Cricetulus griseus: one gene and its partner. The protein of the gene in region 1 purifies or fractionates together with the protein of each later gene. This does not show direct contact. Links are inferred from orthologs where the notes say so. Each region holds a gene or a part of one and is shown in the gene's direction. Other genes may lie near its edges. The genes, in order: Phb and Vdac2.

Region 1 (4,513 bases):
ACACAGTGGAAGGAGAGAACCAACTCCTGTAGGTTATCTTCTGACCTCCACAGGTACACTGTGGCCACACACATATGCACACTCAAATCAATAAATCAATGTCTGCATTTTTATTTTATGGACATAGGTGTTTTGCTTGCATGCATGTCTGTGTACTACTTACGTGCCTGGTACCTCCAGAGGCCAAAGAAGGCGTTAGACCCCCCAAACTGGAGTTATAGACAGCTGTGGGCTGCCATGTAGGTGCTGGGAATTGAACCCAAGAGCTTTGGAAAAGCAGCCAGTGCTCTTAACCCCTGAGCCATCTCTCCAACTCCATAAATGTATTTTTTTAAACTCCATTTTGCTATTTCCAATTGGAGATGTAAAAATGGGGCTAGAAAGACGTTTGTTTTCAGTAAGTACTCAATGAGTGTTTATTGAATAGGTGTAATGCAGTCTCTTCCTTCCAGCCAAATAATCCTCCTCCATTTCTGCCTGCCTCTGCCTCCTGAGTGCTGGGATTAAAGGCACATGCCACCATGCCCAGCTTGTTTCATGTCTTTTATGTTTGTGTGTATATACACATATTCTCTTAAGAGTTGTGTATTTACACAGCAACATGTCCATGGGAAATAAACACAGCACTTCATTTCAGATTTTATCGAAGCGTGGAGAGGAATTCTATAAAAGTCGCTATTTGCTCAATTGACAAAATCGGAGTACAGACGTGGATTACATTTACTCAAGTAAGAGGGTGTCCTTGTATTTAGAGAGCAGTAGGAGAGAGAAGAGGGGAGCACAGGGAGAAGAAAGTGCTGGGAAGAGAGAGGGACAACAAAAGTAACAACAAATGCGTCTTGACAACAGGTGAGCTTAATAGGTATACATGTACATGTTCTCCGTCCCATTCTTTCAATTTCTCAAGTACAACTTTTAAAAGGTGGAGACAGGAGAGTTAGACCCTAAGTCAAGTCCTTTTGCTGGAGTAGTGCAAGACCTGAATGAGTCTCTTCTTTCTAAGCCGTTTCTAAGGTCCCGAAGCGGTTCTGGAGATCCAAGTCTCACGCCCCTGAGGCCGTCCTTAGCTTCCCTAGGAGTTTCCCAGCCCATCAGTTATCCCACCTCACCTTTTTCCAAAACGCCCACCCAGTTACTTCCGCCACCAGGTGGAAGCCCAGCTCCTCTCAGATCCAGCCCGTACCTCTCTTCTAACAGCAATCACCTCGTTACGAACTACGCACGTGCACTTATTACCAAGGAACTGCAACCCCCGAAAGGCTTTGCGGCAACATCCCATCATCAGTTGCCACCAAACGGAAGCAGGTTTCCTGCTCAGGCCCGCTGCTGCATAACCTTTTGGGAGTTGTAGTTGACCTCAGGAAAGCAACAGGGCCCGCGGAAGACTGCAAACCACGCTTCCCAGGATGCGTTGCGCTCCGCTCCACCAATTGAAGGGACGGATCTTGAAGAGGGCGGGGGAAAGGGAGGAGCTGCCTGGCGCACGCGCAGTATGCGAGTCTGGGGAATTCATGTGGAGGTCAGCGTGAAAGCGGGTGAGCGTGGAAGGGGTGGTGCAGGCCGCTGTTTGTGTGTCCCTGTAATCCTCCTTTGCTCTCCTGGGTGCGGTGGGGGTCATGGAATGCACGTGAGGGTACGCCTAACGGAGAAGGGGGGAAAGGCTGAGTCCAGAACGATCCATGGGTTGTGCAAGGGGAGGGGGCGGGATAAGGAAAAATCCAGAAGCCAGTAGAAAATAGAAAGGACTGGGTGTCTTAGTGTCAGGGGTGGAGGGTAAATGTGCGCGGAGAAAACGGGATAGACTCTCAGTTGAGTTCTGGGGAAAGGGAGGGAGGATTTGAAGAGTGCACCGAGGGCGACGCAGGGGCGGGGCATGAAAAAGTTCAAGGCTGAGTGGTTTCTAGTCTGTCAGCTACGTGCTCCCACCCACCCACCCGCCGCCGCAGCCCCACCTCCAGGCCTTCGCTGCCCTGCCTCACTGCACCCCTGCCAGCTCCCGCTTTCCGATTAACAGGTATGGGGAGGAGTTTTACAATGCCTTCTAGAATTCAGTCTCCTCATTCCAACCCTGGTTCCATACGAATAGTGTACCCTCTCCATGCACCTCACCAGTAATGCTTTTCATAAAGAAACTGAAGGTTAAATAAAACCGTTGGAGGCTGCCTAACTTAAATGTTAACAGGAATTGTCCTTTTCGTTGTTGGCATAACCCTTGTAGTACATTACTGGCTTTTCCAAAACCAAATGCACAGAGCCAGCCATACACAGTCTCTTGTGGCCTATTTGGCTAGGAAATGGGAGTGTGGTTTACTGTGGTACTAAGTTCTCTGTGGGTACGACACATCGTTCCTACGATGAGCCAAGTGTCCCAGACGCCTACAAAAGCAAACGAGATACTACATTTGCAAGATGTTGAGTGTCACGGGGTGTTCGGTGAGTTAAGTTAGAGCTCACAGGAGTAGATCCATGAAGATTTATCGTGAAAAGTGAATGCTGTGCCCCAGAGAGGGCTTTCTCCGAGGATTTCGTGTCAAGTTGTTTTATTTTTACCCCTTGTTTAGGTGTGAGTGGGTGCAACAGAAGGAATTATGGCTGCCAAAGTGTTTGAGTCCATCGGAAAGTTCGGCCTGGCTTTAGCAGTTGCAGGAGGCGTGGTGAACTCTGCCTTATATAATGGTGAGCGGGTGGTGCTTTCTGTTGATCTGCACAGCCAATTGAAATTCCTAACGGCTAGCTCTGTCTGAAGGTGTGTGTGGTGAAGTGGGCTCACCTGCTGTTACCCCACAAACTATGGTTGTGTGTAATCAGAGGCCCGGCCTTCATGTAGGCAGTGGTTCTCAACCTTCCTAGTGCTGTGACCCTTTAATACGCTTTCCTCATGTTGTGATGACCCCCAACCATAAAATTAAATTTGTTACTACTTCATAACTGCAATTTGGCTATTATGAATCTACTACTTAATAGTGTAACAGAATATGTAAAAATCTGTATTTTCTGATAGTCTTGGGTGAACCCTGTGAAAGAGTCAACCCCGCCCCCCAGGGCTCAGGTTGAGAGCTGATGACTTAGATCCTTTGCTCAAGAGGAGCCTTCCTGTCCAGTTGCTGGCTGGATGTTTCTAGAACTTTAGCCAGTTTGAAGTGATGCTCTGTTACCCAGATGCCTCTGCAGAGCAGCCCAGCAGGATCTCATTGGTTATCTTCTGCTGCATGTGGGGTGAAATAATTTGGCAAATTCTCTCAGCTTGAGAGACCTTGTCCTGAGAAAGAAGGTTTTGCTCAGCTAGTTGCAGAGAAAGTAATTTTTTGAGATGCATTACTGGGTTTTCTTTGTATTATATTGCCTTATAGGCAAGTCCCTCCTCCTAGTCCTCTGCTTTTACATTGGTCAAACAATGGGACTGAACTAGTTCTCTTAAGATTCCCTCCAACTTTGATACTCTTTCAGAATTCCAACAAATTTTATATACTTTCTGTATGGTTTGTTGCTTTTTTTTTTTTTTGAGACAGAATCTTACCATGTAGCTCTTGACTGGCCTGGAACTCTATGTAGATTAAGGTGGTCTAGAACTCACAGAGATCCACCTGCCCCTGCCTCCTGAGTGCTGGGATTAAAAGTGTGCTCCTCTGTACCCAGCTCAAATGCAGTATAGTGGCTTAAGCAACTCAGAGCTGCATCCTGCTGATTTGTTTTTTAAGACTATGTCTCCTGTAGCCACGTTTGTCCTTGAACTCCTGAACTTCTTGCTTCTGCCTATATGACTTTTGAATGAGTATTATTATCAGACTGTAAGTTTTTAGGCCAATTCTCAATTCAAATATGAAAAGAGGCAAAGTAGCTACTTTAGCCAGGTTCTGGTGGCAGACTCCTGTGACCCCAGTACTCGTGAGGCTGAGGTATAAGGATCTTGAGTTCCAGGCCCACCTGGGCTACATAGTGAGACCTTGTCTGAAAAAGTCAAAGACGAAAGGGAGGGATCTGCTTGGCTCATGAGTTATAACTTGATGTCATAGTTTGTGTAGCTTCATCTATACAGCTAGACTAGTCAGCATTTTAAAATTTCTCTCTGAGTCCACAGGACATGTTGTTGGACCCCCTCCAAAAGTTAGAGAAACAGCTATTAGAAAGATGCTGGGTAAACTGGCCATAGTGGTGTTTACCTTACCAGCACTCTGAGGCAGAGGCAGAGTTTGAGGTTAGGTTGGTCTACATAGTGAGTTCCAGGACAGCCAGAGCTACATAGTGAGAACCCAGCTTGGAAAAAAACCCATGGAGTGATACCCTCCTTACACTCCCAAAACTGGTGGGGGAAGGGTGAGACAGAATCTTTATTTCCTGGCTAATCTGTCATGAGACCCTGTCTCAAAGAAAAAACAATGGGAACATCTACATTTAGGATTCCCATGGTGGGGACCCTGCTTCTGGGAACATCAGGTTAAATTGGAGCTAATATGTGCATGCCGTCTAGTGAAGATCTCTTGAGTTATAGAACTCTTGGGAGGCCATTCCTGGA
Region 2 (3,963 bases), on another chromosome or scaffold:
CAGTGTTTTGATACCTTAAATAGGTATGTTTATTCTCATCTTTGCGTTGTGATAGAACATTTATAATCAGACATAGTGTCAAGTGAAAAATACTCAGATTGCTTCTTCCTTTGACAAGTCAGTGACACAGTAATGACTCCCTGCTGTGTCTAACCACTAGTAAAGTACTCCGTGCAGCACACTGTTCTCTTCAGATGATGCTTGTGGCACCATAACAGATTGGATGTCAGTGGTGGAAACACCTTTCAGCTACTAGTCTCCATGGGAAGGTGACTTGGGACCTAGGTGTCAGTGAGTGACTGCTGCCAGTCATTGTGGAAACATGACAGCATGTCCCATCCAAGTGGAGCAGTAGTGCCCAGAAGTGTCAGCTTTATCTTGGTTGTATTTTGATGCTTACACATTATAAGAATAGAGTCAATGTTTCCAGATCTGTTGTGTTCACCCCAAGATGTTAGCTTTATACTGTAGCCCTTAGGGTACTGCAGAGCCAGTTGCCTGTCTAGGCTCTGGAGTTGAGGGTAAGTTGCAGGCATATCTGTTCTGTAGCTTGCAGGCTGCAAGTTTTCCTGTATAGCTATAAATCATGCAACATTTGCATGGGTAACAACATTAGGATACAATGTAAAAGGCTTGGAAATCTGCTAATCTAGGTGACCTAGCGAAGATGTTAGCTGGGGTAGTAGAGACTGGCACTAGAAGGAGCTGCTCCTTAACATACTTGCTCCCAGGCATTCCTGTCAGCCTTTGAAGGTCTGTTATGTAAAGTGTCAGGGCACTTAAGATTGATAAACCATGCAACAATGGAGCTTTATCAGGCCCTGACTAGTTACAACCAAAATCCGGCAGCTTAAAGGTAAGAGTGAGGAAGGAGTTAAGCTGTGGAGAATTGAGGATGAACCCTGGAAGTAGTGATATATGGTCTAAGCCATGAGCTTATAAGTTCCTCACATTTCAAAGATGGCTGTTCCTCTAGTGGGTCTGCTGGTTGTCATCAGCCACATATTAGCCTTTGTGCTTAGATTAGACTCAACAAAGGTGACTTTGTTGAATAATAGGGTTTTTTTTTTTTTTTTTTTTTTTTTTTTGTACGTATCCAAAGGGGTGTACAAAGGGCACTACATACAATTTGATTTTGAGTTAACATCTAATTTTTAAGTGACACTTGATGTTTGCTTAATAACGATATTAAGTTTTAGTATCCCATTGAGTTAAATAAAGCCCTGGGCTCTATAGCTATAGTTCCATGATGGGTAACACCCAAGAGTTTTGTCTCCCTTCAGAAATGTTTTTCTCTTTTTCTAGGCAAAGGTCAACAACTCTAGTTTAATTGGAGTGGGCTATACTCAGACTCTGAGGCCTGGTAAGTATTGTTGATAAAGTGGAATTGTTTTTATATCCTCCCATCCCCTTTTAAAAGAGATTCATTTAAGTGTATGGGTGTTTTGTCTGCTTGTATATCTGTATCTGCACACTGGAAGAGGGCATTGGATTTCATGGGACTATAGCCACCATGTGGGTGGTAGGAATTATACCCAGGACCTCTAGAAGAGCACCCAGTGCTCTTAACTGCAGAGCCATCTCTCCAGGCCCCCCTCCCTTTTTTTTTTTTCCGAGACAGGCTTTTTCTGTAGCTTTGGAGCCTGTCTGGAAATGGCTCTGCAGACCAGGCTGGCCTTGAACTCACAGAGATCTGCCTGCCTCTGCCTCCTGAGTGCTGGGATTAAAGGCATGCACCACCACCGCCCAGCTCCAGCTCCATTTTTTCAGTATTTTCAGATTGATAATTTCTTTAGTTTATTATTTTGTAAACCTTTCGAGACTGTAGTGGTGTTGTTGGTCCTCATTTCCTGGGAAGTTATAGCTTATCAGGAGCCCCTCCTCACCCTGTAGTGAGGAGGCTGCTCTGAATAAGCACAGCCGCCCTCACTCTAAAGAGCCCCACTCCTTACCGTCTAACACACTGTAGCTCCCCACTGCTGGCTAAATGCTGTCTTGGACCAGAGTTCAGGTAAGAGATTCCAGAGCAGCTTCTGGGTCATATGCAGATTGTCACCCTGTAGGTCTGAGGTGGAGAGCTCTGTGTTCCTAATGGGTTCTGGAGTGCTTAGGGCAGTTGACAAACAAGGTCCTCAAGCAATGGTAGCCCAACTTTCCTAAAATTTAAAAGTGAAAGTGAATACTAGAGAGCCTGTTACTGCTAACAAACTGAACACCCTTCCTTTTTTGGTTTTTGAGACAGGGTTTCTCTGTGGCTTTGGAGCCTGTCCTGGAACTCACTCTGTAGACCAGGCTGCCTCAAACTCACAGAGATCCACCTGCCTCTGCCTCCCGAGTGCTGGGATTAAGGGTGTGCACCACCAACGCCTGGTTCTGAACACCCTTCCTAATTAGCATTATTTACCTACCTAATGTGTACTTCTCACTGGTCCCCTGAGACCTAACAGGCTTCAGTTACAATCTGGCCTTTTCAGTGGTGTCTAGTCTGGGTAGTATAGTGACCATGATTATGGCTTAGAATGCTTTGAATTTATTACTAACCTTTTTATGCCTAAAATGAACATTCCCATAATTCCTAGTATTACAGTTCATCCAGTGCCTTTTGCTGGCTGGGATTACTATGGTAGTGGGCTGAGGAAGTGATGGGCAGGTTGAGTGGTTGTCAGGCTCATCATGATGGTTTGCTTTGTTTACAGGTGTGAAGCTTACACTGTCTGCTCTGGTAGATGGGAAGAGTTTTAATGCTGGAGGCCACAAACTTGGGCTTGCCTTGGAACTGGAGGCTTAATCCAGTTGAAAGAAACCTCTGGGAACGGATATCAGAAGATTTGGCCTTAATATATTTCCATGTGACCAGCAGGCTCCCCCCTTCCCCCCAGAAGGTGATTAAATCAAAGGGTGATTAAACAAGAGCTGTATTTTAAATATTTAGACAGTTTCCTGTTGGCTGGTTTCTAGTTATCAGTGCTGCTATGGTGCAGCCACCTATACATTATTTAAATGTATTTAACTGTTAAATGTGCTACCCACCAATGATGAAATAGACGTTTATGAAAACCGTGCCATGGTGTGCATGTTTGTTTTATGTTCTTTTAACATTGACTATTGTACTGAATGAGATGGATCAGTGGATGTTTTAAGATGAGGTAAAAAAAATTTTTTTTTGTTATATTCAGCCGTCATTAGAATTACTTTGGTAATCCCAAACATGACAAATTATGAATAAAACAAGTGTACATAACTAATGGCTCCACGTATGTGCAGTTACAGATTGGCCAGCCAGGTTCTAACCTTGGTAAATACTTTCTTCTGGTGAGCATTTGCTCTTTACCTAAATCTGTGCAACCAAATTCCTGTGTCCTTAGCGTAATTCCACAAGGTCTTTGAGACTACAATAAAATCAGAGGATACATACTTTAACACTCTTCAGTTTCTAAGTTTGTGCAAAATTACAGTGAATCACTGTTAATCCCATGGATGATGCAGCAGTGGTGCTGAATGGTTAAACAAGCATGCCACACCCTTCTGAGCCACAGCTACAGAAAGTGGAGTAACAAGAGGGGCAGAGAGAGGAGTAAGTGGGCACCAGCAGGAAGTCATTGCTCTTTCCAGACACACTGGAAAGCTGAGCTGAGGTCTTCGACATGGGGCAACCCCCGTAGCCATCACCTGGGCGGTCTGCATTCTTCAGTGATTGTGGTTGGAAAAGTAGGACAGCACAAGCTTTCCACGGCGAGGAGGTATATGTAAGGTGAAAGGGAGAATCCCAGATGAGAGAAGGGGAGGCAAGAGTGTCACACTTGTGGAGTAAGAGACTGCGGTTCAGTTGGAAGCTTTGGAGGACAGCTAGGAGAATGGAGTACTTGGGACTTCCTTGTAGAAACGGTTCATGTGAAGAACGTAGTCTTGGTTAGGAATTAGATGACACAACTTTACCATATGGGGGCTGAGGGGCACTTACTT

What was found.
Region 2: the proteins of Phb (region 1) and Vdac2 purify together in Homo sapiens (affinity purification with mass spectrometry; 4 studies listed by BioGRID, with this or other methods). This does not show direct contact. The link is inferred for Cricetulus griseus from reciprocal best matches to the Homo sapiens genes PHB1 and VDAC2.

Annotation. Positions count from the first base shown.
Region 1 is NC_048600.1:108,826,568-108,831,080, forward strand, and holds the start of Phb (prohibitin), read left to right. Parts: upstream 1-1,444; 5' UTR 1,445-1,535; exon of another isoform or gene 1,536-1,633; intron 1,634-1,940; exon of another isoform or gene 1,941-2,014; intron 2,015-2,561; 5' UTR 2,562-2,588; coding exon 2,589-2,676; intron 2,677-4,513.
Region 2 is NW_023276807.1:199,137,675-199,141,637, reverse strand, and holds the end of Vdac2 (voltage-dependent anion-selective channel protein 2), read left to right. Parts: intron 1-1,305; coding exon 1,306-1,363; intron 1,364-2,696; coding exon 2,697-2,788; 3' UTR 2,789-3,241; downstream 3,242-3,963. UniProt on the Homo sapiens protein: Non-selective voltage-gated ion channel that mediates the transport of anions and cations through the mitochondrion outer membrane and plasma membrane.